2 linked regions of the Saccharomyces cerevisiae S288C genome follow. Changing the gene in region 2 together with the main gene of any one other region gives a genetic interaction. Each region holds a gene or a part of one and is shown on either strand. Other genes may lie near its edges.

Region 1 (5,146 bases), on a different chromosome or scaffold from region 2:
ATACGTATATTTTGGTCTAACGATATTCTGTGCTTTATGGTCCTATTCCATTTATATGAAAAGAGTTGATATTATTCAACAAAGAAGCGGTCAACATCTAGATGCACCACTTGGTCCAGTTTTGGTTTCTATAGTTTTATTTGTCACTTTAGTGGTTAATTTTGTTATGGCGTTTAGAAATGCAGCAAAGTCTCGTCAAGAGTTGCAAATACAGAATTTAGAAGTTCCTGAAAGAATACCAGAAGTATTAAGGCCACTTCAAAATTATCTATTCAAGTTAATGGGGCCAAGCAGTGATTAGAATATGTACTCTATCTACTGAGACCATGTGTTTTTATGTTTGTAATGTGTAGCAAAAAATTATCATCTGCTAACAATTGCTTACTTTTAGAAATCACATTTAAGGGGAAGTTTTAAATCATTCATAAATATCAATGCATTTACATAAACATCATTTTCTCCGGTTTTTGATAACTCTGTACAGAAATAATGGATTATAGTTTTAAGCTAAGCGGAAAAGCCAAATTATTCTTCAAAATTTTCGATGAAGTCGGAGTTTATTTCTTTTAATTTCCCTAAAGTCAAGGGCTCTTTTTCATTTCCTGCACATTCTTTCAATATCGCTACAAGATTGTGTATTCTCTTCATTTGGTTTATGGTCTTTTGATCAACAACGCCATTTGAATCTTCGTTTTCAGTCCTTGCTTTTGCAATTTTCAAAAGCGAATGGATATTGTACGCTTCTGCAATAATATCCGGGTTGAATATTTTTTTTACCACCCTTATTCCACTATTCTCTATTGCGACAGATTTCTGGGTCAACTGATAATTCATTTTGACAGAATTGTCATTGAGAAGGACTGCATCCATATGAAGATGGGAAACTGCTGGCTTCTTAGACATTATTTTAGGAATGTCCTGGAAGTGTGTAGAAAGAAATACCGTTGCCTCCGTTCGAAGTAAATGTTCAGTTACTGCCAAAGACACACAAAACCCATCAGCGATGCTTGAACCACGACCAAGTTCATCTAAAATTAACAGTGTTTCTGTATTTATGTCATCTAAAAAGTAAGCCATTTCTTTCATTTCAAAACCAAAATTTGATGAGGTTAATTCCATACTGTCATTGCAGACTCTTGCATGTAGACGTTTAAAGACAGGAAAAGACCCATAAAGTGCCGGTATACCTGATCCCATTTGGGCCATTATGCAAATAAGGGCAACTTGTTTTAAATAAACAGATTTTCCACTCATGTTGCATCCGGTTATGATTTGTAAGCTGGAGCTATGTTTTGTACTTGATATGGTGTTAGGGACAAAATTTTTTAGTACCTTTTCAAGTAGTGGGTGTCTTGAATCTCGAATTAGTAGATTGTTTGTAAAAATCGGTATTGTGTAATTATTTTCTTTCAAATTATATGTGAATGAACAAACCAAATCCAGGATAGCCACTGCTTCTGCAATCATAAATAGTTCAGAAATATGGGTTGCAATTTTATCGAGCAGTTCATCAACTGTCTCTTCACTTAAAAGTAAAATCTCTTCCATAACTTCCTTCAACCTCGCATTTTTTTTTATTATATTTAGGGTTGTACATTCAATATAATTTTTTTTTATTGTTCTTGAAATGAATACGTCTGGAAGTGTAGCGACGTCATCGGTAAATTCCTGTCTTTTTATTCTGAGATAAAAGCCTCGTGCAGAATCGTAATTATGATCTAAATTGATTTTGTTTTTAGCGGTAAGATCTTCTACCTCACGAAAAAATTCCTCTTTTACCTCTTTGTAGATTTGTCTAGAAACATCCAAAAGCCCATTGGAATCACTTTTCACAGCATATGAACGTTGGTTAAGTAGTTGTATAGCTGAGGATGCCCAGACACAGTCTTCATTTATACAACTATTAATTAATTTTTCAATTTCCATAATTGCGTCATTATTGAATATTTTTTTGGTCTCGCTAATTAAACGGCTTTGAATTAACTGATCATTAAGTGCGTCTTTCAATGACTTCACGCTTTGTAAAGTTTCCTTTAGCAACAAAACGTAATTAATTCTTTGGTCAGGTTTTATTGCAGAATGATTAATGCATAATAACCTTGAAAATAACTTATCTAGATCAGGCAATGATTTCATTTCTAGCCTTAATTTTTGTAGAAGGTCATCATTGGCTTTCAATTCTTCTAGGGCCTCTAGTCTCATTTCGATACTGCCCCTATCAGTTAATGGCTGCAGTATACTGTTCCGAAGTGATCTTTGTCCCATTTTAGTGGACGTGGTATCCAAGAACTTCCATAGTGATATGCCATTCTTATCCAATTTATTTTCTACAAGTTCTAAACCTCTGACGGTTTTAGAATCAATCAGCATTGTATTTTCTGTTCCTTCAAACTGTATACGTAGTTTTCGAAACGCATTCAAATTTCGGCTGCTTTTGGATATAATCTCTTCCATGTAGCTTATCGCAGCAGATGCAGCACAAAGAGCAAACGTTTTATCTATAATCTCCTCGATTTTCAAGTCCTTTTTTGTATCATCCATTAAATACTTTGTAATCGCCGCCAGTCCATCTTGGCTATTGAAGCACTTTCGTGAACCCTCTTCAATTTTAACTGTCTCGGCCACATTAAATTTTATCATTGTCGCTAATTTTGATACTGTTGGAGCTAGAGAACTGCTTGGAATCAGTATTTCCGTAGGTTGGTAAATTTGGAGTTTATGAACTACACGAATGTAAATTTGTGAATCCATGAAATCTGAAAGATACATCTGTCCCGTGTTACAGTTGATAATACATAACCCAATCCGCGTACTTATGTCTCTTGGCACTTCGTATATGCAACAAAGAACACAGTCAATACTAGGACCGAGGAGTGAAGCGTTGGTGCTGTATCGACTTAAGGAGGTTGCGGTCCTAGAGGCCATTGATCCAGTCATTAAGTAATGGCTATGTGTTGAATCTTTTTCATTGTTTTCCCATGTTGTCTCTGCTATTTGTAGCGTTTTCTTTTTGAGAGCCCAACTACTTATGTTAGTTGGCGATTTTTGGTTCCTGATACTCTTTTTCGTACTTGGCTTCGAAATAGAGTTTGAAGAATTAGCCGCCGACCTTAAATTGAAATAATTTGTACTGATAAAACTAGATAGATTAGATTCACTCATTGCATATAGTTTGCGTTGATCAGCTACAGATTTCAATGCTATAACTAGTTATTTTTATATGTTTCACTTTAAGTAAAATCCAACTGCTCTTTTGCTATTCTTCGTTGATGCCTTATATGTATGAAAGCTGTACGTTCGGGATTTGAAAAGGAAATGAAGACGCGAATTAAAAAAAAATAATAAACTGGTTCATAGCAGAAAAGAGGAGACTAAATAAGATTTTGCTCTCATACAGATGCAACACATAAAAACTTTAATCGATTTCAGTATGGAAAAAGATATGATACAATAAAATCTAAATCTTAGAAACTGATTTTGAATAAAAAAACGACCCCAGTGAGGGTTGAACTCACGATCTTGCGATTAACAGTCGCACGCCTTAACCAACTTGGCCATGGAGTCAGTCACTTTTGAGTTCTGCAACTCTTAAAACGGAATAGACTACGTAAAACAATGTCATCCCATACCAAAACAATCCTGATTTCTCAAAGGCATCGCAAACCTCTGGAATAAAAATCCACTATCATCTATCAACTAATAGTTATTCAATATATTATCATATACAGTGTTAGATGATGACATAAGTTATGAGAAGCTGTCATCGAAGTTAGAAGAAGCTGAAATGCAAGGATTGATAATGTAATAGGATAATGAAACATATAAAACGGAATAGTCTAACATTAGTATGTAGAAATATGGATTCCATTTTGAGAATTCCTAAATCCTCGAGGAGAACTTCTAGCATATTCTGTATATGTTGGAATAAAAATCAACTATCATCTACTAACTAGTATTTACGTTACTAGTATATTATCATATACGGTGTTAGAAGATGACGCAAATGATGAGAAATAGTCATCTAAATTAGTGGAAGCTGAAACGCAAGGATTGATAATGTAATAGGATCAATGAATATTAACATATAAAATGATGATAATAATATTTATAGAATTGTGTAGAATTGCAGATTCCCTTTTATGGATTCCTAAATCCTCGAGGAGAACTTCTAGTATATCTACATACCTAATATTATTGCCTTATCAAAAATGGAATCCCAACAATTACATCAAAATCCACATTCTCTACATGGTAGCGCCTATGCTTCGGTTACTTCTAAGGAAGTCCCATCAAATCAAGATCCGTTAGCCGTTTCAGCTTCCAATTTACCGGAATTTGATAGAGATTCCACTAAGGTTAATTCTCAACAAGAGACAACACCTGGGACATCAGCTGTTCCAGAGAACCATCATCATGTCTCTCCTCAACCTGCTTCAGTACCACCTCCACAGAATGGACAGTACCAACAGCACGGCATGATGACCCCAAACAAAGCTATGGCCTCTAACTGGGCACATTACCAACAACCGTCTATGATGACGTGTTCACATTATCAAACGTCACCTGCGTATTATCAACCGGACCCACACTATCCGTTGCCACAGTATATCCCACCACTGAGTACTTCCTCACCTGATCCAATCGATTCACAGAATCAACACTCTGAAGTACCTCAAGCTGAGACAAAGGTGAGAAATAACGTCTTACCACCACACACTTTAACATCAGAAGAAAACTTTTCTACATGGGTTAAATTTTACATCAGATTTTTGAAGAACTCTAATCTCGGTGACATCATTCCAAATGACCAGGGTGAAATCAAAAGTCAAATGACTTATGAAGAACATGCGTATATATACAATACCTTCCAAGCATTTGCCCCATTTCATTTATTGCCAACATGGGTAAAACAAATTTTAGAAATTAATTATGCTGACATCCTTACAGTCCTTTGTAAAAGTGTGTCCAAAATGCAAACTAACAATCAAGAATTAAAGGATTGGATAGCTCTTGCCAACCTTGAGTACGACGGAAGTACATCTGCTGATACATTTGAAATTACAGTCAGTACGATCATTCAGAGGCTAAAAGAAAACAATATCAATGTTAGCGACAGATTGGCCTGTCAACTAATACTTAAAGGTCT
Region 2 (3,353 bases):
TTCCACTTTCCAACAAATACCTCACCCAAGAATGGGTTCAAAGGCTTCTTTTCAGAACCCATCGATTCGCTTCTAGAGCAGTATTGAGATCTCAAAGTAGAAATAAACCACCTAACAACCGCCAACATCTGCGCCACTTCCTTTGATTCCACATTTGGGTCAAAGGGACAGTGATCTTTGTAGTTTTCACCATCAATCAACGAAGGCTCCAGAAATAAAGCTGGATGTTCAGCCCAATACTGAGAAAACTCTGTTAAGGAAGTGGGAGAAAGAATAAACGGTGGTGCAGACAAAGACGATAGATCTCCGTTGAACGAACTTATCGATTTCAAAAAAGAAGTCCAAGAAGATGAGCTTGCGTGTTGAGACATTTTCGTTTGTAATCTAGCAGGATACACTTAGATGACTTAGATATATGGAGCTTCAAGTAGGGAAAGAAAGATCGGACTCAGACAGGTTGAAAAGAAGACCCAACTGGATCCGGGACAGCAAAGTACAAAACAAGATAGTTTATAAACCTTCTCTTTTAACGACTGTTTGACGGCATACCTTGCTCTTTTGTTGAATGCAGGGAACGAGGCCAAAACAATGGTTTTTGTTTAAGCGCGTCAAATTCGACAATGGTGATCACAAACGATTGCTATTATTTAACATAGCGACAGGCGTTGTTGAAGAAATACTGCAGGTGAGGCTGAAAGGTCGTTTAGGTGTCAAACGGTTACCCTACGAACAGTTCGCGTCTTGGAGCCCAATAAAAGAAAATGAGGCTTATCAGTTCTATCACTATTTAACATATTAAAAAAAATATACGGGCGGAGAGGTTTCATTTACGATTGTATAGAGTGAATTCGAAGCAATAACCTTTTTCTTCCAGCGAGTAGCGTTGATCACAGTCTGTTTCGGGCAACTCTACTTTAGGGGGAAGAAATTCTTTCAGCTGGGCCGGATCTTGCTCGCTAAATACTTCTTCCAATTTCTTCGCATCAAGGAAAGTGTCCATTGCAGGAGTTGCGTTTTTATCTAATGGATTTATTTTCGTGATGAGCCAATGATCTGTAATGGAGAAGATTTGACTATAAACTTCGCCACCCCCAATCACGTAGATTCTTTCCAGATGCTCCTTAAAATTGCTTTCTAGGTTCATTATTGCGTTTGCCAATGAATTACTTTGGACTATTGATCTCTCTTTATCGTGGACAAAATCGTCCTTGAAGCTTCTCGATATAATGACATTCATTCTATTGGGCAGTGGGCGAAACTTGGGCGGTATGGATTCCCATGTCTTCCTTCCCATTATCAAAGCATTTTTTTTGTTTGGATCTTTCGTCAATGAAGTGACCTGTCTGAAATACTTCATTTCACTGGGCAACCTCCATGGTAGACCTCCACGAAATCCTATCCCCATCTCCGGCTGTAAACATGCCACAATTCCTACAATAGGAATCTTTCCTCCAGCCATGCTCGTAGTTCGTTGCGCTCTTCAATTTCTCTTATTATCATGCAAAGCATAATGTTAACTACAGAAAATAATGAAACGTTTCCCTTTGGCCAGCGATGCCATCTCACGCACGTAAGGATGCAAAGCGATTTTTTTGTTTTCGCATCCGTCGCTCTTGACGAATTTTAGGTGGAGTCATACTATCAAGAACCTATACATTAAGCTAACCAAGACTACATTTAATTATACTTACACACCAACTAATCCAATTTCTTAACTGAAAACCAAACCTTTGGTTTTAAACAATTTAGAAAAGGAAAAAAGTGGTTAACTTGTCAGACTGCCATTTGTACCCACCCATAGAGCCCTATCCCTTCAAAAAAGAAGTACATAGGATGGGTCAAGATCATCGCGCCATAAAATATTGTAATTACTTCCAAAGGAAAAAACTACAAATGCAACGGCAAAGCAAAATTTTTATTCAAAATTATAGATGGCCGAACCGCTAAGGATTGCGGACCAAGCTAATTTAGATTCAATTTCGGTTTCTCACTCTGGGGTACAAAGGTTATGGGACTCATCAACCAAGTTGGATTCAGTGGCTCTTTTGAAGAGTCAAAGAGTGACGATTCCTATAGAAATGATCCTACTGTAGAATGTGTTAGTCAAAAGCTGCTGCAATGGTTGAATTAAATTTTTCAAAAAGCCTGCTCCGAAATGAAAACTCTAGTACCTAAGACTTTTAGATGCTATAGTTTTCAAATCCTGGTTTTTTGTGGGTAAAATGTTTGGGGTATATTACATACTGAAGTACGTCGACACAGATTTTAAGTAGAAACAAGAAGAAAACATAAGAGAAAAGATGTACTAAATCTAATTGACAGCAGAATACAAAGCCTTTATATATGTCTGGTGGGGGAAAGCAAATGAGAAAATTTTCAGGATTTGCCTTCGCCTTAAGGCGCTGTATGTGAAAAGAAAAAAAATCAGGGTTAATAGTAAAAGGTATGTGGGGTATGGGGGGGTGAAAAAATTTTGACGGCCTGTATAAACCCATACAATCAGCCCATACATACTACTGATATTTTTATAAAAAAAGAATCAATATTTTTTTTGAAACGTACGGTATATTGTGAGAAAGCTTTACCGGTAGACGGGCAATCAGAATTTGTTCTGCCTGGAGACCGCTTCTCTTTACACCATCTTCTTCCGGCCAGTGCAACAGAGCGTCACTGCTGGGGGGAACTCTGCCTGGGTACCATGTGCTTTTCCTTCTATGACTTTACCCATCCATGGTGGTTTGTGCTGGCCTCTCCATGCCTCTGCGTGCAGGTGTGACATGTGAAGGGTTCTTGCTTTCAAAGTAACCTCTGTACCGTAGTGAGGCTACCTATGGCTTGCACCAGTTACGCTTAGCACCAGATTTTGAAAAAACGATTATTATAGCAGATAAAGGTCCGAAAACAGTTTCTTTGCTTAAACAACCTTTGCAAAAGTAGAACCAGATAAATCATAGATAAAATGGCTGAATCCCATAGACGTATGTTATGAAATTACTATATGATGAATGTTGCCGTGGAATAGGCTGATTCGAGCTTAGAAGACATTATTGATATTCGATAAAACATGTGTTATAGTTGGGGCCCGCACTTGTTGGACAACTGTTATTAAAGAGTATGAATATATTAAATAGTGCATGGTTTTGCGATGAGAAGAACAGAATGAACAAGTTTCATAGGAAAAAAATTCAAAAGAGAAAGGTATTATAAATGATCAGTTTACCTTCTAGGGAAAGAAGAAGGAGATAACCTACCTGATATGAAATTCCACCAAGTAGTAGGAGGCACCAGGAAATGCATTTTTACATGAAACTGCGCGTGCCAGAAATGTTAAGATAGCGTATATATATGTCATT

Evidence for each region.
Region 1: mutations in DFR1 (region 2) and MSH4 together harm fitness more than expected from each alone (negative genetic interaction), as found in Saccharomyces cerevisiae (2 studies listed by BioGRID).

The regions. Positions count from the first base shown.
Region 1 is NC_001138.5:133,996-139,141, forward strand, and holds MSH4 (MutS family protein MSH4), read right to left. Parts: upstream 3,163-5,146; coding exon 526-3,162; downstream 1-525. Other genes in the region: VTC2 (vacuolar transporter chaperone), read left to right, coding at 1-301; YFL002W-B (gag protein), read left to right, coding at 4,209-5,146. UniProt on the Saccharomyces cerevisiae protein: Involved in meiotic recombination. Facilitate crossovers between homologs during meiosis.
Region 2 is NC_001147.6:779,012-782,364, reverse strand, and holds DFR1 (dihydrofolate reductase), read right to left. Parts: upstream 1,460-3,353; coding exon 824-1,459; downstream 1-823. Other genes in the region: oxysterol-binding protein related protein HES1, read right to left, coding at 1-371; IRC13 (Irc13p), read right to left, coding at 2,181-2,495; 60S ribosomal protein eL33 RPL33B, read left to right, coding at 2,960-2,978. UniProt on the Saccharomyces cerevisiae protein: Key enzyme in folate metabolism. Catalyzes an essential reaction for de novo glycine and purine synthesis, and for DNA precursor synthesis.